7 linked regions of the Canis lupus familiaris genome follow. The protein of the gene in region 1 interacts with the protein of each later gene in a pairwise test. Links are inferred from orthologs where the notes say so. Each region holds a gene or a part of one and is shown on either strand. Other genes may lie near its edges. The genes, in order: RBM17, U2SURP, DHX15, PPP1R12C, SF1, SAT1 and QRICH1.

Evidence for each region.
Region 2: the proteins of RBM17 (region 1) and U2SURP interact in binary tests that used the Homo sapiens proteins (3 or more experiments, as listed by UniProt). The link is inferred for Canis lupus familiaris from reciprocal best matches to the Homo sapiens genes RBM17 and U2SURP.
Region 3: the proteins of RBM17 (region 1) and DHX15 interact in binary tests that used the Homo sapiens proteins (3 or more experiments, as listed by UniProt). The link is inferred for Canis lupus familiaris from reciprocal best matches to the Homo sapiens genes RBM17 and DHX15.
Region 4: the proteins of RBM17 (region 1) and PPP1R12C interact in binary tests that used the Homo sapiens proteins (3 or more experiments, as listed by UniProt). The two-hybrid records come from large-scale screens. The link is inferred for Canis lupus familiaris from reciprocal best matches to the Homo sapiens genes RBM17 and PPP1R12C.
Region 5: the proteins of RBM17 (region 1) and SF1 interact in binary tests that used the Homo sapiens proteins (3 or more experiments, as listed by UniProt). The link is inferred for Canis lupus familiaris from reciprocal best matches to the Homo sapiens genes RBM17 and SF1.
Region 6: the proteins of RBM17 (region 1) and SAT1 interact in binary tests that used the Homo sapiens proteins (3 or more experiments, as listed by UniProt). The two-hybrid records come from large-scale screens. The link is inferred for Canis lupus familiaris from reciprocal best matches to the Homo sapiens genes RBM17 and SAT1.
Region 7: the proteins of RBM17 (region 1) and QRICH1 interact in binary tests that used the Homo sapiens proteins (3 or more experiments, as listed by UniProt). The two-hybrid records come from large-scale screens. The link is inferred for Canis lupus familiaris from reciprocal best matches to the Homo sapiens genes RBM17 and QRICH1.

What each region holds. Positions count from the first base shown.
Region 1 is NC_049223.1:28,863,779-28,867,676, reverse strand, and holds part of RBM17 (splicing factor 45), read left to right. Parts: intron 1-694; coding exon 695-846; intron 847-1,961; coding exon 1,962-2,035; intron 2,036-2,792; coding exon 2,793-2,891; intron 2,892-3,898. UniProt on the Homo sapiens protein: Splice factor that binds to the single-stranded 3'AG at the exon/intron border and promotes its utilization in the second catalytic step. Involved in the regulation of alternative splicing and the utilization of cryptic splice sites.
Region 2 is NC_049244.1:39,158,359-39,162,256, reverse strand, and holds part of U2SURP (U2 snRNP-associated SURP motif-containing protein), read right to left. Parts: intron 3,040-3,898; coding exon 2,973-3,039; intron 2,896-2,972; coding exon 2,732-2,895; intron 1,412-2,731; coding exon 1,249-1,411; intron 812-1,248; coding exon 732-811; intron 1-731.
Region 3 is NC_049224.1:86,154,855-86,158,752, forward strand, and holds part of DHX15 (pre-mRNA-splicing factor ATP-dependent RNA helicase DHX15), read left to right. Parts: intron 1-1,327; coding exon 1,328-1,763; intron 1,764-3,898.
Region 4 is NC_049222.1:103,259,759-103,264,240, forward strand, and holds the start of PPP1R12C (protein phosphatase 1 regulatory subunit 12C), read left to right. Parts: upstream 1-1,597; coding exon 1,598-1,918; intron 1,919-4,482. UniProt on the Homo sapiens protein: Regulates myosin phosphatase activity.
Region 5 is NC_049239.1:52,884,744-52,889,367, forward strand, and holds the start of SF1 (splicing factor 1), read left to right. Parts: upstream 1-1,668; coding exon 1,669-2,056; intron 2,057-3,361; coding exon 3,362-3,490; intron 3,491-4,624. UniProt on the Homo sapiens protein: Necessary for the ATP-dependent first step of spliceosome assembly. Binds to the intron branch point sequence (BPS) 5'-UACUAAC-3' of the pre-mRNA. May act as transcription repressor.
Region 6 is NC_049260.1:19,542,974-19,547,651, forward strand, and holds the start of SAT1 (diamine acetyltransferase 1), read left to right. Parts: upstream 1-1,791; 5' UTR 1,792-1,986; coding exon 1,987-2,052; intron 2,053-2,268; coding exon 2,269-2,320; intron 2,321-2,410; coding exon 2,411-2,494; intron 2,495-3,898; coding exon 3,899-4,000; intron 4,001-4,093; coding exon 4,094-4,134; intron 4,135-4,279; coding exon 4,280-4,450; 3' UTR 4,451-4,678. UniProt on the Homo sapiens protein: Enzyme which catalyzes the acetylation of polyamines. Substrate specificity: norspermidine = spermidine >> spermine > N(1)-acetylspermine. This highly regulated enzyme allows a fine attenuation of the intracellular concentration of polyamines.
Region 7 is NC_049241.1:40,521,205-40,525,102, reverse strand, and holds part of QRICH1 (glutamine-rich protein 1), read right to left. Parts: intron 1,771-3,898; coding exon 730-1,770; intron 1-729. UniProt on the Homo sapiens protein: Transcriptional regulator that acts as a mediator of the integrated stress response (ISR) through transcriptional control of protein homeostasis under conditions of ER stress.

The sequences.
Region 1 (3,898 bases):
TAGCAGTAGTTGCTGCTGGACTCCCTGGAGACCCTTGAGGCGCCTCCAGGGGCAGTTTGAACGCTCAGTACTAAGAGCTGTGGGCAGGTTCCAGCTTCACTTTACCATAAGCACCTCTGAAGGAATCTCTAAATTGGGGGTCTTGCTTTGCTCAGAGTCAGCCTTAAGCTGGTCAACTAATCTGGGCCTCAGTATCTTCCATTTTCTCATCTGGTAAATGGATGCGCTCTAAGAGTTCTTTTGTTTATAAGGACTGTCATCAAGAACTCTACTATTTAGAAAAATGTAGTTGTCTTCATTGTGTGAAAATCATGCTTGTTTTTTGACGGGCACACTTGGAAGTAAACCGTGGTCATAAATTGTATAGCAGTGCAGTCTCTGGAGCACACAAGACGTCTGGTGTTTTCTAACAGTGATACTGGGAGAATTTGGGGAGAATATGGGCATTTTCCTTACCTCAGAGATAATCTCAGGATGTCCAGGATTTCAGCATTAGCTTTTTCCATTTTTTTTTTTTCATCCTGAGTATCCCCACAACCTCCAACGATTGGCCCGTTGGTAATTATGTGTGACCACATCGAAACCCATGTGGGATTTAGACTTTTTCGAGGGTGATTGCTATGATATAAAATTGGTTTATGCCATAGCTGGTGATTTCAAGGCCAGGAAATCCTTCTCTTTTCCTTCCTCCCAGTGGCACAGTAGCACATAAAATCATGCAGAAGTACGGCTTCCGGGAAGGCCAGGGTCTTGGGAAGCACGAACAAGGGCTGAGCACAGCACTGTCAGTGGAGAAGACAAGCAAGCGAGGAGGCAAGATCATTGTGGGTGATGCCACAGAGAAAGGTGGGTCTGCTCCACGAGCAGGGCTTCTGGGGTGGGAGCACGGGGAACGTGGTCCAGCATGAGAGGACCACCCCTCTCTGGAGTAGACCAAGAATATGCGATTATGATGTATTCCAGTTCTGTGTTGTGGAAACAGAGGCTCGGGAGGCTCATTGGAACAGATCTAGAGATAGGAAGGTTCATGGGGGAAAAGACGATAGACTCGCAGAAATAACACTCAGAGAAGTGTTTTCATGCCTATTTGTACTATGCAAAGACCTTGTTAAACTGGTAAAATCAGAGTTATGGTTTTAGAGCATGGAAGAGCCCTGTGCATTGTGTCCGTGATGGTACTGGTGTATTTCCATCCTCTATGAGTTTTTTACTTTTTGCTTTTTCCTACCCTTTCAAGTGTGATTTCTCATTTTCTTACAGATTGATTGCTCTGTGAAGTCTGGTGTTATTTCACAGTCTGGTGGTAGATGATGCCTACTTGGTGTTTTATTTTCATCTTATTATTATGTTCTGTTCTGTGCCCAGGGCATATTGAAATGAGTCAAACGTGTAGCTTCACATTTTAAAAAGAATTGAGTTTATTTTGAGTATCTTAGTTTAGCTCCCTTTCTTAAGGAAAGAAGAAAACTTTGCTGGCAGCCCTGTCAACACATGGCCTGATGAAGCAGCTGGTTGGCCTGACAGGCTAGAAGCCAAAATCAGCCATCGCCCTGATTTGTAGGGTATATGAAGTTAGTCTGCCAGTGGCTGGCTAATTCACTGCTTATTATATTGGACTGGTGACCTTTGGCCACACTGCATGTGCCAATACTCTGACCTGTAAGGTTTGTGGTCTGTGCTCTGTCAACTGTGTGAACTAAGGAAGTGACCCTAAGCAAAAATCCCAGGTAATTAGAGAAGCTGAAAACTTGTAGAAATTATGGTAAAAACCTATACTGAAGCAGAGCAGATATTTTCATCATGGATAAGGCGACATTTTTGCTCAGAGACTGATTGCATAAATGCTTATAGATGAATCTAAGGACATAAATAGTGGGTACAAGTACTCTTGAAATTAAATTAGTCATTGTAACTTGGACTCCGTGTTCTAACACGCCTACGTCTTAAATGTTTTGCTACAGATGCATCCAAGAAGTCAGATTCAAATCCATTAACTGAAATACTTAAGTGTCCTACCAAAGTGGTCCTCCTAAGGGTAAGAAGCAGAATTGAAGAAACCCGTTTTCCTACCTTGATTTTTGCTTGTCACTCCACCTTGATCCATCTTTGCATGCTTTCAACCCTATTGATACAATAACAGTTAAAACTGAAAATAATTTTTCTGCAAATGATTGTTCTGGATAGATGCCATCTGAGGTTGATATCTTAGGTTCCCTTTTCACTAATGTTTCTTTGCTAAATGCAGTATTCAAGACTGCAATGAGTAATTGCTTTAAAATATTTGAAGTCGTTAGTTCAGTTTAGTTTATCTATTTTAGTTTATCTAGCATAGATGCTCTTGTGACTCTATGAAATTTAGTGTATGTGTGTGTGTTTAGTGTTTCTCAAAAGATTTGCTTATTTCACCTATTAATTTTACAACAAAATGTGTTCACTTTTGCCTTGAGCGGTAAGTAAGCCATGTTTAACTTGGGCGCCTGTCCATGTAGGATACTCTTTCAACTCAAAGTGGAACATCAACTCAAAAAATTATTTTTCAGTTAAATGAGTAAAGGGAATAAGAGTGTACCTCTGTACGGCGTTACGTACTGTGAGCTCATAATTTGCTTTAATTCAACGTGTTAAAAACCATAAATATTTTTTTTGTTAAGAAATACCAACTTTTGGATACTACAAGAATGAAAATTCTCATTGTGTCATTTGGGATTGAGAACATTTGCCATCGTGAAACAAAGTTATTTATTCATCTTTATTTGTAAATTACACTTGAACTTATTCATTTTTGTTCATAGAACATGGTTGGTGCAGGAGAGGTAGATGAAGACTTGGAAGCAGAAACCAAGGAAGAGTGTGAAAAATACGGCAAAGTTGGAAAATGTGTGATATTTGAAGTAAGAGGGCTTTCTTTTGATTTTTGTAACCCAAGTTGTAACTGACAGGTTACCAGACATTTTCTGCAAATAGAGACAAGTTGTACCGTGAGTAACATCGTCGAAGGTCACAGATGATGCTTAGATACACTTCGTTTACATAGTTATAACAATTTTAAACATAAAGACAGGAAGGACTTCACATTTTATTTGGTGAAGAAATTAATTATTTCCTTTTATGATTGAGGTTTAGTTTGATGACTAAAGACTACTGTCATGTGCTCAATAGTTGAGTTAGTTGGACGTACCTTTGGTTTCTTTCATTTGGCAACCGTAAATTTAGTGCCTCCCACATGCTTTTGGAAGACAGGAAACATGTCTGTGCTCTCAGTGGTATGTTCAATTGAAGAAACAACAAAAAAGCACATGTAAAAATAGGGAATGTTCAGTTGCTAGACTCTGTAGTATTCACTATAAATACAGGAGTCAAGAAAAGGATTTGATCACAAAAAATAGAGCAAGCTTTGTGAACAGTATCAGATTTGGGTGAGCTTAGAATGTATGGGTAGGATTTGGATAGGAGGAATAGGTATCCTGACAGGGTCACAGCTTCTGGGAGACTAAGGGGGCTGCAGAGTGGAATGTTTGGGAGTGCTGCGAATGAACGGAGTGGGGGTGCTTACCTGGGAATGAATGGGGGACATGCTCACCATGGGGCCATGTTATACCAGACTTGGAGAGCGTGACAGAGGAACTTAAGCAAATGTGAGAAGCAATTAGAGCACAGATCTTTTCATCTTAAATTTCTGCTCCCACTGCTGCTTCTCTTCTATATCACGTTCTGTTTGTTGACTGCATAGTGATTTGTTTAGGTGTCGACTGGCATAGGATCTCTTCAGGGTTAAATGTGGCTGTGCTCAGTTAGCTCTGTGTTCTCTACCCCAAACACAGTGCTTCTCATAAATAGACATTCAAAAAAAAAAAACCAGATGTTAACAAATTTTGATGATGAAAAAATCATTTATTTC
Region 2 (3,898 bases), on another chromosome or scaffold:
AACTGTAATTAAATGCCTTAACCTAAATTACTCTCCTGCAAAAAATTAGTTCCCTTGATTAACAAGGAACTTTACATTTAGGATACTTTCTGCTACCTAAACTGACCTCTTTGTTTTATAATATAGGAAAAGTAACTTGTCCAAGGGAAAAAGAAAAAAAAAAAAAAAAAAACCTAATAACAGAGCTAAGATTAAGACTCATATCTCCAAATGTCATTTCAGCATCGACTTCTGGAGAAAAGTCTCCCTGATTCATAAACACCAAAAAGGAACTCTGAGGAGGAAGTATATATTAATTACAAGAGAGCAACATAATTTCCTACTGCCTCGGAAAACAATCACAGTGAACTACACCAATACAATGATGATCAAAAGAGAACATAGCTTTACAAACAGTTCATGTTCTGTCTTTGGTCTCTTCCTTTATGCCTGCCACTATTTCTATTGTTTCCGTTTATTTACTACACAAGTGGCTAAATGTTCGATAAAAATAGTTATTTTTTAACTCTTATTTGTTCTAGTATAATTTATCAAGAAACTGATATGAAAACTTTCTATACATTAAAGTGGTTTAATGAATGCAGCAAATTTTTTAGAAAATTCTATAAACTAAGAAAAAATTCAAATTATTTATTACTGAGACTATTAACTAACAGAACAGTCCTCTTTTTTTTAATTCCTTACCCTTAATGTTTTATTTCAGGAATATCAGCTTACACCATTATACTTACAATTTTCTATAATATGAAGCATTGGCAACTTTGGCTGAAGAGTTATACAAAACATCAGAAACCAAATATAATCTGGCAATCTAGAATACCAAAAGATAACATAAAAGAGATTAAAAATAAAAACCAGCAGCAAATAATGTATCTAGAAAAAATTCAATACTGAAATTTTTTTGCAATCAGTGGTGTAAGGCTAATGTTTAGCTACAGTAAAAACAGCTAATTAGAAAAGTTATAAGAAACTCAACATTACCAAAGCCACTACTTTGGCAGGGATAAAATATGTAACTTCTTTACATTTCAACCTGTTGATAACCTGTATATAGAATTAACATAACAAGTTTCCCCAGAGAGGAGGAAAATAAGACTACATGGGAAAGATCTCTTCAGTCAAGTTCTTCATGCAAAAACAAAACAAACAAACAGAAAAAAAAACCACCAATTTCAATCCAAAAAGAAATCAACTATTATCTCTCTTTTACTTAATTAAATGTTCCATAAAGAGAAATCACTTCCATACCTTTTTGGGGAGGGGTGTCTTTAAGATGGACAATGACTCAGTAATGCAATCCACTATTTCTTCAGCAGCTTCAGCATTATTAAGACAGAAAACCATTGCATCTCCAATATCATTTTTCCTTGGAGTTAACCCCCGTAGGATTTCTTCTAATTTGTCCCTCTGTCTGAATACAAATGTTTTTAGCTTATAAATATTTACAGATATAAATTTCAAATTCCATTATAGTTTCTGCTCACAAACTAATTTCTTTAAAGCCCAGTTGGATAAAATTCTGAAGACTAAATTGTGTTAAGTCTGATTTAAATCCCCCAAATAGAATACATTTCTTTGAAGAGCTCATGGGGAAAGAATATTTCCTTTGTGAATAAAGGATTCCAGTGATTTTTAGTTTACAAATAAAGTAAATTTTAAATTATGGGCATTTGTTTCAAGAATGTTTGAGAGTGTCCCAGTCCTATTACCCCATTACAGTGGGGGGAAAAAAAAAGGCCTCCATGTTCTTCACTCTCTTTTGAAGTCAGTTACTTTAGCACTTCTGAAATAGAACAGGCTAAAGCAGGTGCTGGCAAACTTGGTAAAGGATCATACAGTATATATTTTAGGCTTTACAGGTCATATAGTCTCTCTTGTAGTTACCTGATTCCACTGCTATTAACATGAAAAAAGCCATAGACAACATATAAAGGGGGTAGGGGGGATCATGATTGTGCTCCAATAAGTCTGTTTACAAAAACATGAGACAGCCAGATTTAACATACAGGATGAGTTTGCAGATCCCTGGGCAAAAGTAATGATGAAAATACCTCTTCAGAAGCAAATATGTTTCAAATACATATAGCTCTGCATTAGCAAATGCTTTTACAAACAATGCATCAATGCAGCTAGTATTCAGAGCATACGCCACAATCTTTTAGCCGATTTTTTCCCATGAAGCATACAGAACTTCCTCTTAATACTTAATAGTACTTGTTTCTGCTTCTTAAACCAGACTAACTTCACTGTACCCATGCTGACTGAACTGAAGACTAACAAATATGTTTTCATGGTGGCCACACACTGCAAACTCTTGTGGAAAGACTGCATAACCAACCATCAGACTTCACAAAGCTCTACAGTAATTTTTTCTTCTTTAATGTTGCATTCAGAGAGCCAAGAATTCTAAAGGTCCCAAGATAATTTCTGTAAGAATCACAAATACTTCACTGCTAGAGAATCATTGCTAAGAGATCACCACCAACCGATGAGAGGTTTAGAAGGTTTTTTATCAAAAGGAGAGAAAAAGGTCAAAAGGACACACACTTATACTTGCCAGGACATTTCAAATTACATAGCACATGATGAGAAATGTTAATATTTTAATCATTCACACAAGTAAAAGAAAAAACATTTTATTTTAGGGCTAACATCTCAGTAAGACCATTAATTAAAGCGATTATTAAAGCAACTTTTCTGAATATGTAACAGGAAAAGAAAAAATTCTTACTCTTCCTTAAGTGCTCCCTTTTTACTGGGCTCCTCTACAAAAGCTTCTGTTTCTTGCTCTTCTGACATCCCATGCAGGTATGGATTTAATGGTGGTGGCCTCCAGAAAGACCCATTTTTGAACATACGAAAATCTTCTGTCCGCCACTTAGTTGGAGAATCTCCCTAATAAATGTCCAGAATGTTATTAGAAAGGCAAAATATCTCAGAGCTAAAGTTAACAAAGTTTTGATTCCACTTACCTGCAGAATAGAATAAAGCTTCCACCTATAGTAAACATGGGCTGGTGTCTGGTTTTCAAATAAGAATCTAAAACAAAACAAACAAAAAATTAAACATCATACACTTTAACAAAGAAATGTCTTCAATTAAATGTAAACAAATGAGAAATATTATTTGCCTATTTCATTTTAAATAAAACCAAAAGCAAAGATCCCTAAAAGAAATCCTCACCCACTGCCTTCTGCCATCTATTCCCTTCTTCACCCTAGCCCCCAGACTGCCTTTGTGATGAACATTAGTTCTCAGAAGGTATGTATGCATCTTACTGAGTCTTACAACCAATTTTATTGAACACTTATGTCAGGTATTATATATGGCAATGGATTTTCCCAAAACAGAAATTTCAAAAGGAGCGGGTTTTAGAAGACTTAGGAGTGTTAAATAAATGTCTTAGATACCATACCTATCAGAAGATAAGCAATTTTCTATAAAGCTCTATTGTTCTACTATGAAGAACTCTTTCACTGGAAAACATAAAGAGTAGTATTTTCCTCCCAGAGACTGCTAAAACCAATGTTATTTAATTAACCTAAATTAAAATCAGATGGAAAACTGACCCAAGTACATCCAGTCTAATTACTAAAACTACCTTCTCAACCCATTGCAAAAATCATCACACACTTTTAGAACTTTATTCTTGGAAATATTTTTAATTCCAAAAAATAAGTTAAAAGTATTTTTTAAGTGCACACCTGAGGATAAAAAACGTGGTAAATACATGCAATGGACTAGATTCAGCTTTAAAAGGTAAAGAAATTCTGATACATGCTTCGACATGGACAAATCTTGAAGATCTGCTTAATGAAGTGAGTCTCAAAGTACAAGGACTGAATGATTCCACTTATATGAGTTAACTAGAGTAAATAAATTCAAAGAGACAAAGTAG
Region 3 (3,898 bases), on another chromosome or scaffold:
AAAAGTATGAATATGTGGATATATGAAAGTATATATATGAAATGTGTATGTATGTGTATATATGGAATAACTTTAAATTCCTGTGGAATACAGTTATATTTTAGCGAGGACAAAAGAAAATAAGATTGATCTGCTTAACATTTCTGTATTTGGGGAGCCATCCTAACTCCTGCTGTCTCTAGAATTTTAGCTGTATTCTGTCAAGGGGTTTCTGTTGTCCTGCTGATGTGCTTTTATAGGGAATGAATGGTTTTTCCTACTCAGCTACTGATAATTGGTGCATGGGAAGTTTGTATGCCTTTTGTGTCTTATGGATAAGGAATATTGAGGTGTTCAGTGGCTTGTCTCATAGCTCTATATTGCCTCAACTATTTCAAGTCTGGGTCCAAATACCTTGTAGAAGTTTGCTATAGGAATTGGTCTGAAGCTTATTTAAAAATTATTATTGTATTAGGAATCATGCCTGCTAACTGGAAGTAGATACTAGAACTGAGTACTTAAAGTTGACCTAGGCTTAGTATAGTGACCGTCTGCATAATTTTAGCATTTTAAGACAACTTACTATTGTTCAGTGGAGCTTGTTTTTTTAGTGGTTATATTTCACTTGATAGATGTCCAAAGTATACATAGGTTTACAGAGTTTTGCAGTTACTATTAAGGATATCATGCAAGAGGAAACAATGAAAACAAAAGGAAGTGTTTTAATTTTAGTTTTTTTTTTTTAATAGGACAAATACATGCTTATAAAACAAAATTGGGAAACTGATTTAAGGCATAACTTGAAAATGAACTCACCTACAATCCTTTAACTCATGTTTGTATTACTGTTATGTGAAGTAGAATGGTCCTTGTGTCCAGAAGCAGTTTTGAATTTTGAACATACTTTCAGTGCAAAAAATAACTTTTCATGTAACTTGAGGGAGAATCTGGGGAAAATTGTGATGCCCATATCCCCCTCTTGCTTTATTTTCTCCTCCTTTTCCCCCACCTTACTCTCAGTCTTTAATTTCTACTGTCTAAATAAGTAGGAAGGGGTTTTACTTTACTCAGTCAAGTCCGAGTCTTGTGTAACAACAGCTGGTGGCTAAAGGTGTAGAAAGAGATGGTCCCTTAAGAGAATTTGAGGTCTCATCAAGGAAAGAAAAAGATTTATGGGTGAGGCATGGAGAATTCTTGATTATAAGGTCTTTTTCATTATGTCTGATACTTACATAATTCATTGGTTTATTCATTTGGTGGTTAGACATTCTTGTTCTTTGTGACTATAACACTGCCAAGAACATTTTGCGTAAAATTCAGAATCTGAATTCTAAATTTTTATTTTTAGGAAGGATCGAGATCGTGACCGGGATCGTGAAGATCGGTCTAAAGATCGAGACCGAGAACGTGATAGAGGAGATAGAGAGCGGGAAAGGGAGAAAGAAAAGGAGAAGGAATTGCGAGCTTCGACTAATGCTATGCTTATCAGTGCTGGATTACCACCTTTAAAAGCTTCCCATTCAGCTCACTCAACTCATTCTGCACATTCAACACATTCGACACATTCTGCTCATTCAACACACACAGGACATGCAGGACACACATCACTTCCACAGTGCATTAATCCATTTACCAACTTACCCCATACTCCTCGATACTATGATATTCTAAAGAAACGGCTTCAGCTCCCTGTTTGGGAATACAAGGATAGGTTTACAGATATTCTGGTTAGGCATCAGTCCTTTGTACTGGTTGGTGAGACTGGGTCTGGTAAAACAACACAGGTGAGTTATTATTGTGTACCACAGTACATACCGTATTAATGTTTACATTTACTAAATGTTGCTTATTTGATTGGAAGTCCTTCTGCCTTGTCTGTCTCCTAGAACATCCTGAAGACTAGCTACTTTGATGTTTGTAGTGCACAGAGTGGGAATCCTGTAGGGAGTGCCTATTTTCCTGAGTCTAGGGGAATATAGCAGTGCTGTTTTGTTAATGTTAAATATGGCAGAATGATGCATTCTGATCACTTTGACTCTGGGGTGGTACAAATTTGGAGGTACAAGTATTCTATTGCTCTGAGTAGAAATTTGGAACCACTGGGATAGTTTTGTTTTTGTTCTTGTTTGTTTTGAACCATGTGAAAATTATCCTTTTTTTTAAAAAGATGGAAGAGCTGAGTAAAGTCTCTTTATTCATGACCTCCACATCCATCTAGTTACACTTGGCCTAGAAGTAAACACTATCTTGTTAGTAATATATCTAGGATATTTTCCAAAAATGGATGAGCCATTGTTTACTGGTCCCATGTTATCGATCTCTAGGCTGCTTCTGATGGTTGTTTTTCATGAGCAAGTAGATCCATTAGACTATACTGTGGAATTAGAATATTTACGAATCTGATATGTGAAAAGTAGTATCAGCATAATTTTTAATTTGCATTTCCTGCTATGAGTGAGGTGTTAACCATATTTCCCATATGTTTGAGCCTGACCAGTCACAAATTTCTAAGAGATTGCAAAAGTAGCAGTCCTTGGCCATTGTAGAAAATTTGGAAAATCTGGAAAGTGTCGAAATGAATTTAATAACTTGTCTTACCATGTAGAAATTATGACTGTACTGTGTTTCTTCCTGGCTTATTTTCCATGTTTATGTACCTGTGACCCAAGTTTATAATGGAATGTACTGCATACGCAAGTTACCATTTAAGTTTCATATGCCACAAACCTAGATTGGAGTATATCATGGAGACATTTTGAAGGCTACAGTGGCAACCAGAATAAGAAGTTTTGAAAGACTGAGCCTTACTGAATACGATTTTTCTTCATAACTGAACGAAAATCTAGTATTGATGTTAGGAACTGAAACTGATAGGTTTATTTTTATCACCTTATGGAAGTTTAATGTGTGAAAAGATACGACTTTAAACTTATTTTAAAGAATTATTTAGTATTTAAAAGAATTATTTCAACTAGTTTATCTACATAGTATTTAATTAGCTATTGGATAAAGCTAGGCACTGTGTCCCTTGTATGTATTATTTGTGTCAACAACCTTACAAGGAAGTTGTTAATCACCATTTCACAGATGAACAAAATGAGCCTTAGATTCATAAGAGTCTTAGAGGTTTTAGTGGGTTGTCCGTGGTTATGCATAGTAGATTTAGGTGGGCTCAGTATTAAGAACTTTGTCCCATTGGCTATTGTTTATAGCCAATGCTATATTTATTTCATTCTGCTATTCTGTGGTCTTATGTGGTTAACCTTATTTCAGAGATGAGTTTCTTTAGTAGCAGTTAATGCAGATGGTCAAGTCAATTCAAAATGAGAGGTTTGTAATTATTTGGATGAATATTTGTGGTATTTTTTGTTTGTTTTTGTGTACCTAGGATTGCAGAGCAGTTGGGTTCAAAGGGAAGCTGAACAGCTTTATTTTATTTATTTATTAAAGATTTTATTTGTTTACTCATGAGAGAGGCAAAAACACAGGCAGAGGGAGAAGCAGGCTCCATGCAGGGAGCCCGATGTGGGACTTGATCCCACATTGCAATATGGTATGTTCATGCTATATCCATATATAAGAAACTAAAGCCAGTTGAGTGTGAACGGGGGCACAGGTTTGGTGAAGAGAAAGCTCTGTATGCTCTGTATATGGACGACAGACTTTGTAGGAGATCATAGCAAAATTTGACTCTGTATAAGGTAATAGAATAAACAGTAGATTGTGGAGTTACTAATCTTAGGGGACGTGGGAGGGATTAATAAGTATTTGGAGGAAGGTGCAAAATGGTTTTGAACTTCTTGAATTTGGGATACTCAAGTGGAAAGGACCGTTAGGTTAGGGATGGGAACGTAGTTAGGATTGTCAAATGTATTATAGGTAATATTAGAAATCAGGAGAATAAATAAGACCAATCAGG
Region 4 (4,482 bases), on another chromosome or scaffold:
TTCCACGAACACTTACAGGCTTGATAAACATGAATCCCTATGAATAGCACACACCCAGGCACACACAAGACCGTAGGCACACAGTTATAAAGTGTCACGGGTATGCACGCACACTGAAACACACACAACCACAACCGCACATAACCTACAGGCGACCTACTAACTGCCTTTCAAGCTTCCTGGCAAAGGAGGTGGGGTTCACGTCCCACGCGTGGGAAGCGTGGGGTTCAGAGACTACATATCCCAAGAACTACCGGGACTGCCATTCCCTTTATAGCTATGGCCAGCTTTCCCCAGGCCTCATGGGATTTGTAGTTTATTTCTTTCTACAGGCCCCCGCTACTTCGGAGTGGGTGGGCTCCTCCAACATCCCTTAAGAAAAAAGGCTGTTGCCGCTGTCCAGATTTCAGCGCCTTTTTGTGCGATTTTTACGGGTCTTGGATCCGACCTCAAAGTGCCTCTATCTCTCCTAGCCAGGATTTAGGCGCAGGACACTTAAAGTGAGGATTTTTTTTTTTTTTTTTTTTTTTTTTTTTTTTTTTAAAGTGAGGATTATTTCGTGTTTTAAAGTGCTACGTGGAGCCCCTCACCCAGGACTACAATTCCCAGCATGGCTTGCGAGCATGTAGAGCCTAGACTACATTTTCCAGCGTGCTCCGCGTCGCAGGAGGCCCTCGGAAGAAAGGCGGATGAATGAAGGTTCTGGGGGCGCTGTCCTTGTGGACCCCGCCCCTTGGGCCCCTTGACTGGATGTGATCCAGGGGTCACCATGAGGGACTTTGGACTTCTCCTGTCCTTGGGCCTGGCTTTTTGGGGGGCTTGGGATTCTGCCTAGGACGTACTGTGTTTCCAGGGGCGTGGCCCTGAGAACTACATTTCCCGGCGTGCGCTGGCGCTGTGGGCCGATGGCCATGACCTCTGACTGCCCACTCTATCTCCCAGCATGACCTGGGTGGCCACTCCGGAAAGCTGGGATTTGGGATTGCCCTGAAGGGTCTCCGGGTTGCGGGGCGCCCTGGTGTTTCCCTTGACCTCGGGAATCCATTAATTACTTCGTGCAGAAATTAACTTCGGTCTCGCAATTTTAAGCTCCATTCTGGGTCCTGGGGATAAGGGGCGCTCAGAGAAGACAAACGTCCTTGCCCTCCGGCCGCTTATTTCTAGCTAAAGGGAGCTGACCAAAGAGCCCACAATTAATGAATTATGTGGGAAAATGAGCGTTATGTCCTTCCCGGCTCCCGGCCCCGTGGAACGTAGCAGTGCATTTCCCAGGGCGCCCCCGCCCCCACTCTCACTCCCACCCCCACCCCAACCGTCCACCGGTCGCCTGGAGCGGCGGACTTCCCGGTGCGCCTCGGGGCGGAGCGAGGCAGGGAGGTTGCCATTAGCAACTTCCGCTTGCGGACTCCATTTCCCAGCGCACCCCGGGGAGGCGTGCTGACGTCGGCGCTCCGGGCGGGGGCAGACTGATCCTCCGGCGGCGCGGGGCCAGCGGCAGTTCCCAGCGGCCCCGGGCGGGCGGCGGCGGCGGCGGCGGCTCCTCCTCGGGGCTCGGCGTACGCTCGCTCGCTCGCTCTCCCGGCGGGCGGGCGGCGCGATGTCGGGCGAGGACGGCCCGGGGGCGGGACCGGGGGCCGCGGCGGCCGCGGCTCGCGAGCGGCGGCAGGAGCAGCTGCGGCAATGGGGGGCTCGTGGGGGCGCCGAGCCAGGCCCCGGGGAGCGGCGCGTCCGCACCGTGCGCTTCGAGCGCGCCGCCGAGTTTCTGGCGGCCTGCGCGGGCGGCGACCTGGACGAGGCGCGCCTCATGCTGCGCGCGGCGGACCCCAGCCCCGGCACCGAGCTCGACCCCGCCGCCCCGCCGCCCGCCCGCGCAGTGCTCGACTCCACCAACGCCGACGGCATCAGCGCCCTGCACCAGGTCAGCGCCCCGGCCCCTTCCGGGACCTGGTCCGCCCTGGGTCCGAGGCTCCTCGAGCATCCTCCCAGCCTGAGTCACGGTCGCCAGGCCTGGTCTGCGCCCCGCTCTCCGCTCCCGCCCACCTCGAGCTCCCCGCTTGCAGCCTTGAGCCTCCTCCTCAGCCGGCCCTGGTCTCTGCCACCCTGCGCCGCCCTCTCCCTGGACCCGAGCCACTGCTGACAGCTTCAGTCTGGTGCATGCCTCTGGTCTTGGTGGTGGTCACTTGGCGCCGCCTCCTCCCGACCCTGAGCGCGCCTTACCAGCCTCGTCGGTGTCCCGTCTACTGTGGCACCTCTTAGAGCGATAGTACTTAAATCCCCTGTACCCCGCTGTTCCCCTTTCCAGCCGGGTACCACCCTCACTGCGCAGCAACCTCCTCTCTGGCGCCTAAGGAGCTTCCTCCCCTAGTCCCCGGCCTGTGCTACATCTTTGGCTAGGCCCAGATCTTCCATGGTGCTGCTGCACAATGCGTCCTCCTCGCCATTCCTTCTCACCCTTGGGCAGTGCCATCTGTTGCTGTGTGAGGATGCTCTTGCTTGAGCCACTTTCTTCTAGGTCTGGATCACCTCATCCTATGTCCACCCAGATACTGGCTGCGTTCTCTTTCTGGAGGCTGTGCCACCTCTGGTCTCTCACAGTAGGCCTTGTGTCAGGGATGTGTCTTCCAGGCACCTCCTCGTCTCTTGCCCCTTCCCCTTGTCTAGGCCTGTATTCTTGCCCTTTTTTGAGGGAACCTCAAAGCACCCGATGCTCTATTCTGGGTCATCTTGCTTTCTCCTGTGCATTTGGGCAGCTTCTCCTGTAGACTCTGTGGTCTCTCTGGCTCTTGTCATACCACCTCCACGAGGGGTTCTAGAACCCTGCTGGTTCTCTCCTCCACAGCATGGCCCCTATGCCTTTCCAAGACTCCCTGATTGTTGCCTCCAGTGTTTCTGTGTCCCAAAACGAGGGCCACCTTACGCCCCAGGACTCTCTCTGGTTCTGGATGCATTTTTCTGCTCCCCCCCACAGTGGGAGCATCAGGGACAGGACTGGCCACAGGAGAGCCCCCACCCCCTGTCTCATCCCTGAGACCATGCCCTTCCTGGATGAGTCCTCAGCCCTCTCCTGCCTGCCAGAATCCGTGGGGTTTGGTAATTGATGGAGCCAGAGAAGACCCTGGGAAGGAAAGGCTGGTGGGGGAGGCAGGGATGTTTGAGGAGGCCCACTTCTCAGGTCCCCACGAAGTGAGGAGTAGTTGAGAGAAAGCAGAATTGTCTAAGTCCTAAGTTCTAGTTTCAGTTCCTCAGCCTTGTGGTTACAAAAGTTACTGTCCGTTCTGTGCCTCAGTGTCACCTGTGCAGCAGGACTAGCGGGCAGCCCTTCTTGGCAGGGCTCTGGTGAAGGAGGGAGGTGGCCTGTATGGAAATCCCTTCAGAAGCAGCAGAGGCATTCCTCTGGGGAGTTGTGCCACCTGGTCTGAGTGCCACCCCTCCCCTCTTTCTCCTTTCCAACTCCTAGGCCTGTCCCACCCAGAGTCTTTAGTGCTGTCTGGGAAATTGTCTTCCACCCAGAGGAGGGTCCTGCTTCTTTGAGGCCTTGTAGAGTACTTGCAAGCCCAAGAGAGGGGCCTGAGGCTCCTATACCCCCTTCCTCTTCCACCATCCACACCTTAGCTCCGCTCGACTTTCCCTTGGGCACTCTTGGTCCTGTTCTTCAGGCTGAGCCCTCCTCTGTCACCCTCCTGGGCCTAGATCCTTGCAAAAGGCAAGTCTGACCTGGCCTGTCAGGCTGCCCTTTCAGGTGCAATCTTTCCCCTTCTCCAGGCAAGCAGTTGGTAAACTCACTTTGCAGGTGGCCTGAACGGTTAGGGCTTTGGGGGTTCAGAAAGGGGAAGTTCTTGCCTCAGGTCACATGGCCAGCAACCGGGCGAGCTGGGGTTGGGTCAGATCTGCTGTGGGGTGACCAACTAATGCTGGTTTGCATGAGACTGGCCTGGTTTTAGCAGTGAAAGTCCCAGACAACCTGGGACAGTTGGCTGCCTCGTCTGGGTGAGTCCTGGGGCTGTGGTTTCCTTTCTGAATTCTCCCTGGAGTGGGTCCCCAGGCATCAGCCCCCTGCTCTGGTCGTGTGCCCAGAGTTCTCAGATCCCAGTGCCTGCTTCAGATGGGTCCGTTAACCACTTGATAAAGCCAGTTTCCTCTCCCCTTTCCCCAAAATTGCCTAATGGTTAGGTCTGGTCTGGAATAGAAGGGATCGGGAGCCACGGTTCTCAGGTCTGAATAGGGAGGATGGAAGCTGGGACTCCTGGGTCTGGGTTGGGGAGGGTCTTGGAGTCTTGGGTCTTGGGGAGAGGGGCTTGGACTCCTGGGTTTGGGGGCAGGGAGGCTTTTGGACTTCTGGTTCTGGGTGGTGGGGAGGAGCTTGGGCTCCTGGGTCTGGGGAGAGGGTGGTGGCTGTCGTCTGGGTTCTTGAATCCCTGGTGCCCAGGCCTTGGGCATCTTTCACATGGATTCCTGTGCCTAGCCAGGTCCTTGAAAGGGAAA
Region 5 (4,624 bases), on another chromosome or scaffold:
CTCATTATCACCTTAATTTGCATTTTCCTGCAGGGGGGCAGTGTCTGGTGCCTTTTCATGTTTTTTTTTTTTTTGCGGTTTGAATTTGCTCTTCCGAAATTTGTCTATTCACAGCCTTTGCTCATTTTATATTGTTTTTGTCTTTTTTCCTAATTAGTTTTTAAGACTTCTTTGCATATTAGCCCTTTATCATGTGTGGCAAGTATATCTTCCTAATGTTTTATTATCTGTTGGCTTTTATCCTACAGTTCTAATTTCTTTAGTGATCAAGTATATATTTACTAGTCTGAGTTTCTTGTTTTCCTTAAGTCTCCACCTCTAGATAACCCTGTTGGTCTCCTATATTGTTATTTTAGGTCTGTTTTATTGTTTAAGATCCTATACCATTTGTTAGCTGAATCTTTACTGAATCTACACATGGGGAATCTATTTCTGGTCTATTCTGTCGCGCTCATCTGTCTTTCCTTCAACAAATCACATTGTTTCATTACAGTGTCTTGCACACTATTCCGAAAAGCGAGTTCCTCCTCAACCTCGTTTACAGGTTTCCCCACTATTCTCATAATTATATGACTTTAAGATGATGTAATCAACCCCCAACCTAGTTGATTCTATGGAAATACAATGTATTTGCAAATTAATTTTGTTTTTTTTTTTGTTTTGGTTTTTTTTTTGTTGTGCAAATTAATTTTGAAATCGAATTATTATTGTTTTCTGCCTAAGATGATGTGTTCTTCCATAGGCTCAGTATCGCTTTGATCCTTCAAATAGACTATTTTATAGTTGTTTTTTTTGTTTTGTTTTTTGTTTTTTTTTAAGAAAACAGGAAGTCCCTTTTTACCTGCGGCGCGTCAACGGTTCCGGTTTACGGTCGCGCGCCAGCCCCTCCCCCGTCCCTCGGTTCCGGGTTACTATGGGAATCGAGACTTAACGTCACTAAGGGCTTCCGCGCCGGACCAAGGAGTCGACCATGAAGCGAAGGTCGGAGAGGCAGCCTTGCCCCATCTACGCATGCGCTCTCCTCTCCACTCCTCCCCGGCCGTAAATCTCGTTCTGCCGGGTACCGCCGCGACCTCTCGCTTAATCCCAGAGAAACTGCTCCCCGGGGGAGGAGTAGAAAAAGAACCGGACAAGCGACAGCCAATCCCATGACACTACGACGCAACCGAGCATTGACCCAATCAACTTCAACCAATGAGAAAGACCCTGCCCCCTACGTCACAGAGCTTGCCCCGCCCCATTCCCCTCCTTTCTGGACTCCGAGCTCAGTTCGCGCAGTAACAAATGAAGTGCGCGCTGCGACACCTCCCAGCTCGCCAGGCTCGGCCGCCATTTCTTCCCCCCGGCCTAACGGTCCGGCCAATCCCAGCGTGCATCGAGAGGGGCTAAGGCTCCGCCAATCGGAGGCCGCCGATTCCGACCCCTTGCCTGGGCTCGGCCCAATCCAGGACTCGGACCCGTCGCCCCCGGACCGCCCCCGCGGCGCCCTCTCTCCTCCCTCTTTGTGCGTCTCGCGCCGCCGCCGCCGCCGCCCGCCGCGTGAGAGGACGGGCTCCGCGCGCTCCGCGGCAGCGCAGTCGGGTCCCCTCCCCCCGGAAGGTTCGCGAAGAAGCCGCCGCCGCCACCACCGCCTAAAAGGAGCCGCCGGTGCCGGTCCCCGGGGGCGCCATGGCGACCGGAGCGAACGCCACGCCGCTGGGTAAGCTGGGCCCCCCCGGCCTCCCCCCCGTTTCCGGGCCCAAAGGGGGCTTCGAGCCGGGGCCACCGCCTGCTCCCGGGCCTGGGGCGGGGCTGCTGGTGCCCGGGCAGCCGCCGCCCCCGCCCGTGGGCTCGGTGGGAGCCCTGACCGCGGCCTTCCCCTTCGCGGCGCTGCCGCCGCCGCCACCGCCGCCGCCCCCGCCTCCCCAGCAGCCGCCGCCGCCGCCGCCCTCCCCGGGCTCCTCGTACCCGCCGCCGCAGCCTCCCCCTCCGCCGCCGCTCTACCAGCGCGTGTCGCCGCCGCAGCCGCCGCCACCCCATCAGGACCAGCAGCCGGGCCCGGCCGGCGGCGGAGGAGGTGAGTCGGGCCGAGAGAGCGCGAGAGGCGTCGCGCGGACGGGCCCGGCCGCCTGAGGGGCGCGCGGCGGCGGCGACGGCGGCTGCACGCGGCAGGGGCGCGCGCGCGCACGGGGAGGCCCCGGGCGGAGGCGCCAAGGGGCGCGCGGCCCGGTTCTCGGGCCCCGAGTGCGCACGCGCACTGGAAGGGGTGGGGGGGTGGAGCGCGGAGGGTGTTGTGCGCAGGCGCAGTATGGCTGCCGGGCTTTGTGGCCCGATAATAAATGGAAATGGGGTGGGGGGGCTCTGTGTTGCTCTCTACAGCTTGGTACAGGAGAGGGGTGTCGAGCGGGTTGAATTGGTGGACGGGTTGAGGGATGTGCGTGTCGGGAGGGCGTGAAAGGGTCAATTGATGACGTGGAGCACCTTTCTGATTCTAGAGAAGTCCAAAAGGTAGGAAAGCGAGAGTAATTTATCTCTCTGTGCGAAGTTTTTACTGCAGTGAAAGGAAGAGCTCGAAAAATCCTCAGTGGTGTGGTTGGAGCCGGTGCACTTTTGGAGGAAGGAATATTTTCCTAATCTCCATTCGTTTATCTTAGAGAAGTCTGATATGTCTCCCCTTAGTTGTTGGGGCTTTCCAAGTAGAACTGATTTGTGTGTACCAGATGTGTAGAAAGTTTACGCTTCTGTTTTGGAGGAGGAGTATTTGGCTGCTGTTGGATAGCTTGTATTTTGTTGAACTTTTGATACCTCATTTAGGAGTTCTGATGTTAAGTGTCTAAATTAGCCAGGAAAACTGAATGCTTATCTTGACTAAACTTCTGAAGAAAAAAGTGAGCTTTTTGAAGAATTGGGCTTTTTCACTTAGTAAATTGTAAGTTTGGTTGTGTTCTGGTCCCTTTAGAAAGGTGGCTGGTGGGGTTTGGAGGTGGGAAGAACCAACAGTTTTCTCAGCATACTTTACCACATCTGATTATTCGGTATATTTTGTCTCCCCTGGGGTTTTTAAAACATTTGTGGTTGATGTTGCATATCTGAAACTGTAGGGATTAAGATTTGTTAGCTTGTTTACATACTTCACGTTTTTTTGACATATGTTATAAATATGAAATATGTTTTTGGACCCAGAGCCAGGTATCTTTGTGGCGGCTGTGTGTCTCTGATTTCTTGGGTATGTCTTCCATTTTTTGCCATTTACGTTTTAGGTCAAGTTCTCAGTTTCCCAGTCTGCCGAGGTTGTGTGTAGTATTATAAGTATCGTGAACTGCCTGTTGGTAGTTAGTTTGTTGGTTTATATTTGTATTTGATGGGTTTTCTCTGCCTTTAGACTTCCCAAGTAAGAAGCGGAAGAGGAGCCGCTGGAACCAAGATACAATGGAACAGAAGACAGTGATTCCAGGAATGCCTACAGTCATCCCCCCTGGACTTACTCGGGAACAAGAAAGAGCTTATATAGGTAAATACACGTTCTGCACCCAAATATGTTTTCGGATTGTTATGACTTATTCTGAGCAGCGTTTTATGTGTCCTAAATTTGAGACTTTAAAGTCTTGTTCTTTTGAGATGAGGTATGGTCAGGTGTACTTTTATGACTTCGACATAATCCATCAGTTTTTGCTCTGTAAGTCCTGCATTTGAAGCTCCTGGTTTCGGTCTGTTCGTAACAGCAGTGTTCTCCATGAGTGCCAGGAAGGTAGAGGGACCCATTTAGGAGTGAGGGTAGTCCCCAGTCCAGTACCCCACCCTACACTTTTCAGCTGCTGTTCATTGCCCGTTGGTGAGGTGAGTGTCTTCTGCCTCTCTGGACACGGCCCCAAGTGGAGAACACTGCAGGTATTATAAACTAAGTACCTTTTTCACAGCATGGCCTTTCACCATTTCATATTCTTCCCTCCCCTTCAAATGTGGTCTTTTACTTTTTATAGGTACTTTCTGAAAAACTCAGTTTAATCAAAGAGTGGTCCTGAAAGTGTTGGCAGTATACATCCCTTTTTACGATTTTGTTGAATTTAACCTTTCCTTCAGCATCTTTTCTGGTTTGGTCTTTGGAGAGCTGCCTTAAAACGAAGGCTCTTTTACTATTTATTATCAAAGAATTCTGCTGGGAAAGGGGTACTACTTGGATATGGCATGAGGTGATAGGGTAAAAAAGATCTTAACTGTTGGGAAATTTCAAGACAATAATTATAGTAATTGTCCACAATGTAAATGAAGTTAACCTCAAAATTACCTTTTTTTAAATACAAGGTTTTTAATGCGAGTTTCACCTTTATTCATGTATCTCCAGCTGTCTCCAAAAAGTTCACTTGATAAGCATTTCCTACTAACCAAATAAACATCCCCTTTGGAGTAAATTAGGGCAAAGGCCGCCTAGGCCTGGGAGGCTGTAGCCTTTACAGATAAAAAGCTTCAAGGCTGGCATGTGTTATTCTTGAGGATCATAATCTCTTACATTTTTTAATTGCTGAGAGTTTTGAGGTGTTGGAATTGTTTGTTTTTACAGTACTAATATTTCTTCTTTCCCCACTGTTCCAATTTACTCCTATCCACCTCCTTGTCTCATTAGATTGGCCTGGGTCTTTACAACCTT
Region 6 (4,678 bases), on another chromosome or scaffold:
ACTATGCAACCCAAACTGAAAACAGCCTTGCTATTGCTTCAACAAGGCAGCTATCACTAGTGCTTAGTTATGGAGGGTCTAATTTACGTTATCAGTAATCACACAGGTAACATGCTCTCATAGTTCCTCCCACAAGTTAGATCCAAACAGAGTAGAGAGAAGGGAGTATGAATGGTCATCCATGTATCATGGTGTCAGGAAAGACACAACCTAACGTGGCTTAGGTAGATGCAAATCAATGCTATTTTTAAAGATCTTTGAGAAAGACATTTCATAAACTCCCAGATGACTCACCATGCATAACATCTCCAGAGGGTGGGAAGGGCAACAAAGAGCCTACTTTTGCTTTCTTTTTTACATACAGGATATTGCTAACAAATGCAGAGAAACAATTGTTGAATGTTTGTGGTCATCTGGTGATAGTCCACCTCTCATTCCACACTGAGAAACCTGTGAGCCCCTTTTATGCTTTGGCTCCTCCTGGAATCCAGGCAGAGTGGCCAAAGCAAGCCCCCAGGGCCTCTGTCTGGGAAGGTGGGTTGTAAAACAAAAACTGTATCTGCAAGAGGCCAGAACACTTGTTCCAGTGGGAACAACTGAAAAAGAGCTATACTCTAATTCAACCGTTCTGAAACATTTTGTTCTCAGGACATTTAAAAATTACTGAAGAATCCAAAAAGCGTATCTTTGAAAATTCTATGAAACATAAGAATACACAAGCACACATCCCTTTAGTCACCAGAGCAATGTCATCACACATTCTGTAAATCTGTGATCATTTGAAAATGAAAAGTTAAAGAAAAGGGGGGGAAAGCAGCACAGAGAATGGAGCAAGTAGGGATTACATCAACTTTCAACAGCGATGGAAGCCAGAAGGTAACCTGACATCACCACTACACTGAAAGAAAATAACATCCAACCCCAAACTCTATAAACAGTGAAAGAAATCCTTCAAGATGAATTGAAGACATATTTAGACAACCAACGCAGAAAGTTTTTCTGTACTGAAGGAAATTGTGAAAAGTGCCCGTCAGGCAGGAGAGCGTTTCCACAAGGAAGGTCAGAGATTTAACAAAGAATAAGAAGGAAAGAAAATTAGGAAAGAACGCTGTGCTAACTCTAAAAATTACAAGTATGAGAGAAAAATTATTGAGGAATCCAAATAGTTTACCTTAGGAAACTGTAGAAAACACAAGAATATACAAGCACGCATTACGTTAGTCATCAGAGCAGTGACTTCACACACACACATCAGGTCGCCTCTGGAAAATTCCCACAAGAATGAAAAGGGGCAGTGACGCCTCACTATTATTATGAAACTCGTTTTGACACAGACTCCCTGAAAGGACCCTGGGATCTGCAGGGTCCCCCACAGCACACTTTAGAGAACCGCTGCTCTCATCCTCACGTTGCCCAAGGCAGGTTCTCCTGAGTTCCACTCCCCTCCGGCCAAGGGAGAAACGGCAAGGTCACCGGCCCGGGTTCACAAGAGGAACTACTCTTTTCCTTTCGCAAAGGTGACCGGGTGACGCACAAGCTAGAAAGTCGGGTTTCCGGGAAGGCGTCGAGAGGCGCCGCGAGAGGGCGCCCCGAGAGAAGCCCGCGGCGCGCCTCGCCCCTCCCGCGCCCCCGCCCGCGCCCCCGCCCGCGCCCGCGCCTGCGCCCGCCGGGTTCACACGGAAGCCCGGAAGAGGGGGAGGCGCCCGGAAGAGGGGGGCGGTCGCGGCCTCATTGGACGAGCTGCCTCCGCCTCACGCCCGGAGGCGGGGCTACTTGGCCCTAAAAAGCGGGACCCGGCGGCCGCTAAAGCGCGCCGTTCTGGTCGCAGTCTGGCCGACGTGCTCGTTGCTCGCCGAGGTCCGCCGGGTCATGGTGCCAGCCTGACTGGGAAGAGGACGCTCCGGGGAGACGAATGAGGAACCACCTCCTACTACTGTTCAAGTACAGGGGCCTGGTCCGCAAAGGGAAGAAAAGCAAAAGACGAAAATGGCTAAATTCGTGATCCGCCCGGCCACCGCCGCCGACTGCAGTGACATCCTGCGGCTGATCAAGGTAGCGGGAGGCCCGGGCCGCCCCTGGGGAGGGGGAAAGTGGGGAGCCGCTCCGGCGGGTTCCCCTTTGTCCGCCCGCTCCCCCCAGCTTCAGCCGGGCCGCTCGATTCTGGGAACGAATCGCCGCCCCGCCCACCCCGTTCCCTCTGAGCTGCCTGGGCCAGGGCCTCACTTAGTTTTCTCCCTCTCTCCCTTTCTCCCGTGTGCATCGCCCCAGGAACTGGCTAAATACGAATACATGGAAGAGCAAGTAATGTTAACTGAAAAAGGTAACGCGACTGTACCAGGGCGGGGGAAGGGTGTCTGGTACTTGGCATCTTCACCGAGGCCATCACTGTCCCCGATGCCCCTTCTTGCAGATCTACTAGAGGATGGTTTCGGAGAGCACCCTTTCTACCACTGCCTGGTTGCAGAAGTGCCCAAGGAGCACCAGTCTCCGGAAGGTAACGCCGCCCCCCCCCCCCCCCCCCCCCCCCCCCCGCTTCCAGAAGCCAAACACCAAGTGTTGTATAAAACATAGAGTGTCTGTTGTGTAGAACCACTGACAACGCAGGCCAAAGTTACTGAGAAATTGGCCAGAAATAATAGCCAGTGTTCAAACTACTGAGGAAAAAGAAAATAGATGTCCTGCACATAATAATAGGGCGGGTTGAAAGAGCTGTTTAAGTAAGTATCAGAATGCTGTGGAGACCTGGAAGGGTTAGGTATAATGTCATTTATTGTAATTCAGTTCTTGTTTGACCCTAACGTAACCTTTTTTGTAATTGTGTTAAATCACATTTTTTTCTTTAATTTGTCCCAATCTTCAGGTTACAGTCTCTAGCTTCGCCATGTACATGGCCCTTCCGTGTACATGGATGGGCGGGGAGGTAACTAAAAGATCCTTTACACAATAAAGTAGATGATCATGATAAATGAGGTAAGGTCCTATTATCACACACTTAAAACACGGTAGATCAGAAACTCCAGTGTACTCTCTTCCTGTGTTTGCAAAGGACTATAAAATGGCTAGAAAGTTTAATTTGAAACCTTTGCCTCCATTTGAAATTATAGACACCCTATTTTTATAGGGAGTCAGATTGTTTTATTTTTTTTTTTTTTGCTGGTCCCTGTTGACTGGTCAGAAGACAGAGCTAAAAGGGGAAGTTGTTTGGGTGGGTGCTTCACTTTTTTCTTAAGTCTCTTCCCCAAGCTAGAAGAAATGAACGGAAAACATAAGGGATGAGGTACTTTTTGGAGGTATGTGGATGTTACATAAGAGCTATTTCTGGGTACCTCTGCTTCTTCTGGCTTAAAACTGGGGAGAGCAAATTGAAAATCTGAATTGGAAGGCAAGTTCTGAAATTAAACGTTACACTTTTGATGGCCTGATGTCCTGACCTTAAGGAAGCAGAGTTTCTAATCTACAAATATTTACTATTCTGAACTGCCGTGTAAACCCGACTTATTCCCAAGTCAACATACCAATATATCAATAGGATGTGAATAATGTGTGTGTTTAGTTTAAGACTACAGCAGTTTTGCTCTGGCAAGTAATGAAAGTCTCACTTCCTGGGGTGTGAGATCCAGCAGATCGCAGAGTGGCCAGTCCCATGATTTTAGCCTCGCTTCAGCTAGCTCTAATGTGTGCTTTTTGCAAATACATGTCCTGAGAACAGTGAGATCATCCAAAAGTGGCCTGGACTGCACTAGCATAAAAATCAGGAGACAGTCCCGTTTCAGTGCCTACTTACTTCTATAATACATGCATGTTTATTTTCTAAAACCTATGATAGGCTTCTGATTTTGCAGCTACAACTTTTATGGGTTGCTTTTCGTTCACATCTCATGTGATATTCTTATTACAGGACACAGTGTTGTGGGTTTTGCCATGTACTACTTTACCTATGATCCATGGATTGGCAAACTGTTGTATCTTGAGGACTTCTTCGTAATGAGTGATTATAGAGGTATGGCTGAGTTTAGGAGGAGATGCCCTAAAGAGAAACCAGGACTTAACATCCTGAAGATGACTTTTTAAATGGTACTTCTCTTTCTTTTAGGCTTTGGCATAGGATCAGAAATTCTGAAGAACCTAAGCCAGGTACGTCTTGGTTTGGGGGGAGGGGCAGGGGGTTTGGTTTCCAGATTTGTAAGGGTTACTGAATTATTTTAATGACTGGAACAGATTTGGGTCTTGGAAAGCAGGTGAAATGTCACTGAGTTTGTTTTACTCTCCCTTATAATAGGTTGCGATGAAATGTCGCTGCAGCAGCATGCACTTCTTGGTAGCAGAATGGAATGAACCATCTATCAACTTCTACAAAAGAAGAGGTGCTTCTGACCTGTCCAGCGAAGAGGGATGGAGACTCTTCAAGATCGACAAGGAGTACTTGCTAAAAATGGCAGCAGAGGAGTAAGGCGTGTGCCGGTGCAGACGATGACAGCTTCCATTCTATTTTAGATTAAGTTCTCAACTGATCTTGCTTTCTATCCTGTTTGTAGTCAAATAATAGAATGAACACCCATTCCAAAGCTTTATTACCAGTGGCGTTGTTGCATGTTTGAAATGCGGTCTGTTGAAGATGGCAATCTTGTATGCAGTTTGGAGTCAGATTTCTCCTTGAACATCTTTTGATAAACAAGGT
Region 7 (3,898 bases), on another chromosome or scaffold:
AAAGTAAGTTATTAAAATCAGACAACACTCAGTGTGTCCCATTAATTTTTCCCTAGAACTTTACTCTTCTTAAAAAAAGAAGGACCTGGGATGCCTGGGTGGCTCAGCAGTTGAGCGCCTGCCTTCAGCCCCAGGGCACGATCCTGGAGTCCTGGGATTGAGTCCCACATCGGGCTCCCTGCGTGGAGCCTCCTTCTCCCTCTCCCTATGTCTTTGCCTCTTTCCCTCTATCTCTCATGAATAAATAAAATCTAAAAAAATAAAATAAAAATATTGTGATTTAATGTGATTTTAAAAAACGAATTTCACCTTTCTTTCATCCTCTTTAAAAAGGAGGATCTGCCTTCAGCTGGAGTTCCGGAATGATCCTGGAGTTCCAGAATCCAGTCCCACATCAGGCTTTCTGCATGGAGCCTGTTTCTCTCTCTGCCTGTATCTCTGCCTCTCTCTGTCTCTCTCATGAATTAATAAATAAAATCTTAAAAGAAAAAAAAAAAAAAAAAAGGATCCAAGGTATCTATCTCCAGGTACTAGGACAGAACTCCTGCCTATTGTATAGCTTTCAACTGCTGCTTCTATTCCCCCTCCTCGACCCCAACTAAACTATTAAATATTATATCACTGCAAGACCAACATCATTGCAGTAAACAAGCCAGAGGTTGCCAGGAAAGTTCTGTGTTGCACAGGGCCCTGGGGAAGCAGGCTGCCCTTTAGATAAGTCTCACTTACTGAACAAGTAACCTGGAGCTGCTGCTGCTGCTGCTGTGGCGGTGGCGGCGGCGGCGTCTGTTCCTGGGGGGTTTGTTGTTGTGGCTGTTGCTGGGGGTCCCATATATGGACAGTCTGAGCTGTGTTCTGGTAGGTGCCTGCCACAGCCTGCACAGCCACTGGAATGTGGATGTTGCCATTCATGAACTGTGCTGGAAAGAGAGAGTTTGCAAGGGTCTGCACTACCTCTTCATGGGAGTTTTTCACTACAGACGTGGTGCCCACCATCTTCTCCTTGTCATCCTCCAGCTTTACAGCTGCCAGGGCCGTGGGTGAGCCACTGACGTGAACTGCATTGTAGGCTTCCTGGGGAATGGCAATGTGGGTAATGCTCTGCTGCTGAGGATCCCCACGGGGCTGGGCAGAGTAAACAGGGATGGTCCAGGTTTCTCCTGTAGGGCTAGTAATGGTCCCAGTGGCACTGTACAAGTGGGCACTGTCTACTGTCAGTAAGTCTGGCCTCAAAGACACGTAACTCTGCTGCTGGCCCTGTGGAATGGCCAGCACAGTAGCCACTGGCTGCCCTGAGATGGCATAGGACACAGTGATGGGCATGTCCACTTTGCGCTTCTTCACTGGCTGGAGGACACTGGCTGTGCCAACCCGCCGTTCTCCTTCCCGGGGTGAGCCCTGCTGAGACGGTGGTGGGGAAAGGGCACCCACGGTCTGGATTTGGATCTGCTGACCCCCGGCAAGAGACTGGCCAGCCACCAGCTGAGCCTGGATCTGCTGGTGTGGGATGTGCTCTTCTGGAATCTCTGCAGCCTGGATCTGCTGGGCTGCCTGCACATGCTGCACCTGGATCTGCGCTGCCTGCAGCTGCGAGGGGCTGGGGCTCTGCAGAGACGGAGTCTGGATGGAAGGGGTTGCCGGCTGTGGTGCTTGGCCTTGGATCTGCACCTGGACCTGGATGGGCTGCTCAGCAGGCTGGTGAACGGTGAGCTGTGGGGAGAGCTGCTGAGCCGAGACCTGCTGTGGAGACTGCTGTACCTGCACCTGTACCTGTGGCAACAAGATTCAGCAGTGAGTGAACCAGGCAACATTAAGGATTCATCCCCAAAAGGAAGAGATCTCAGGCAGAAGCCCTAGGTGATGTGAGGAGGAGGGGTTGCTATACCCAAGGCTTCTGAGGAGACCACAACCCCCAAAATCATACGCAAAATCCTCCAGCATCACACGGCATTCGAAGCAACAAGTATCTACCAGAGCAAGCAGGACTATCAACTGGGATCTATGAAAATATCAGAACTTCTGCTTATTTTTAACTTTTGTTTTAAAATGTGACACCCTTTATTTTTGCACCTTGGTATATATGTATATAATTTACAAAAATATATTTTGGTGTATGTTTAAAAAATTGTTTATCCATAGGCTGAGTGATAAAAAGTGTGGGGACGAATGTTCTGTTAAGGTAAGTACATTTCAAGGCATGCAATTCTCAACCCAGAATCAAAACTACTCCTACCACAGATCAGTGAAAAACAGTAGAAACAAAACTCTTGAAATCCCTTTTGGAGAGATCTCCCAACACTGCTACTAAAATGCAGCTACTTAATAGCTTTGTTTTAATAAAGAAGCCCATAAAAAAACCCCACAAAGATTCCTGATAATTTAATCTAAGGAAGGTTACTATATCCTGAACCACACACATTTCTAACAATAATGCAGCTCATTTCTTATTATTGTTACCTTGGCATACAAAGCATCATGAAAGGATGCCATGTGTTGCCTGTAATCTGAAAAAAAAAAAAAAAAAAAAAAAAAAAAGATTTTTTTCCTTCAGACACACATATCTAAACTCTAAATACTGGTACGAAGTAGGAAGGTAAAAAGAAGGCAGATGAGAGATTATGTAATAACAGGAGACACATCACATAAGTAACCAAGCATGTGCTGAGATAACTGGTTATCTATATAAAATCAATAAAGTTATACTTCTTCATATCATACACAAAAAAAATGAGGGAGAATCTGAATAGAGGTCGGCAAATGGCAAATAAGCACATGAAAAGCTGCTCAACATCATTAGTTGTCATGGGAATGTAAATCAGAACCACAGTAAGATGCCACTTGAAAGCCAGTAAGACAGCTACAAAAAAAAAAAAGATAGTAACAAGTGTTGACAGGAATGTGAAGAAATTAGAATCCTCATATCGCTGGTAGGAGTGTAGCTGCTTTGAAAGTCTAGCAGTTCATCAAAAGGTTAAACATACCATATGACAAACTTATGAAAAACAACCCACATGACCCACCAATTCCACTCTTAGGTATATACCCAAGAGGAATGAAAACTATGCCCACAAAAAATGTTTATAGTAGCATTATTCATAATAGCTAAAAAGTAGCAACAACCAAAATGTTCATCAATTGATAAATTGATAAATAAAATGTACCATTTCCATAGAACAGAGTATTATTTAGCAATGAAAATGACATTTTTTTTTTTTAATTTTTTTTTAAAATTTATTTATGATAGTCACAGATAGAGAGAGAGAGGCAGAGACACAGGCAGAGGGAGAAGCAGGCTCCATGCACCGGGAGCCCGATGTGGGATTCGATCCCGGGTCTCCAGGATCGCGCCCTGGGCCAAAGGCAGGCGCCAAACCGCTGCGCCACCCAGGGATCCCAAAAATGACATTTTGATATATGCTACAACCTAGATGAAACTTGAAAAACGTTATGCTAAGGAAGTCAGTCACAAAGACTAAATATTGCATGTCCATTTATGTGAATGTCCAAAACAGGACTTCTAAAGAAATAAAAAGTAGACTTGTGGTTGTCTAAGAGCAGAGGACTGGGGAAAATGTAAAGTAACTGTTAATGGGCATAGTGTTTCTTTTTTAGAGTAATGACAATGTTCTAAAACTGATGTAAGGTTGCACAACTCTGAGAGTAGATTAAATAACTGCTTAATTGTTGGGACACCTAGGTGGCTCACTTGGCTCGGGCTTTGGACTCTTGATTTCAGCTCAGATCATGATCTCGGGGTCATGGGATCAAGTTCTTTGTCAGGCTCTGCACTCAGTGGGGAGTCTGCTTAAGATTCTCTCCCTCTGGGGATCCCTGGGTGGCTCAGCGGTTTAGCGCCTGCCTTTGGCCCAGGGCGTGATACTGGAATCCCGGGATCGAG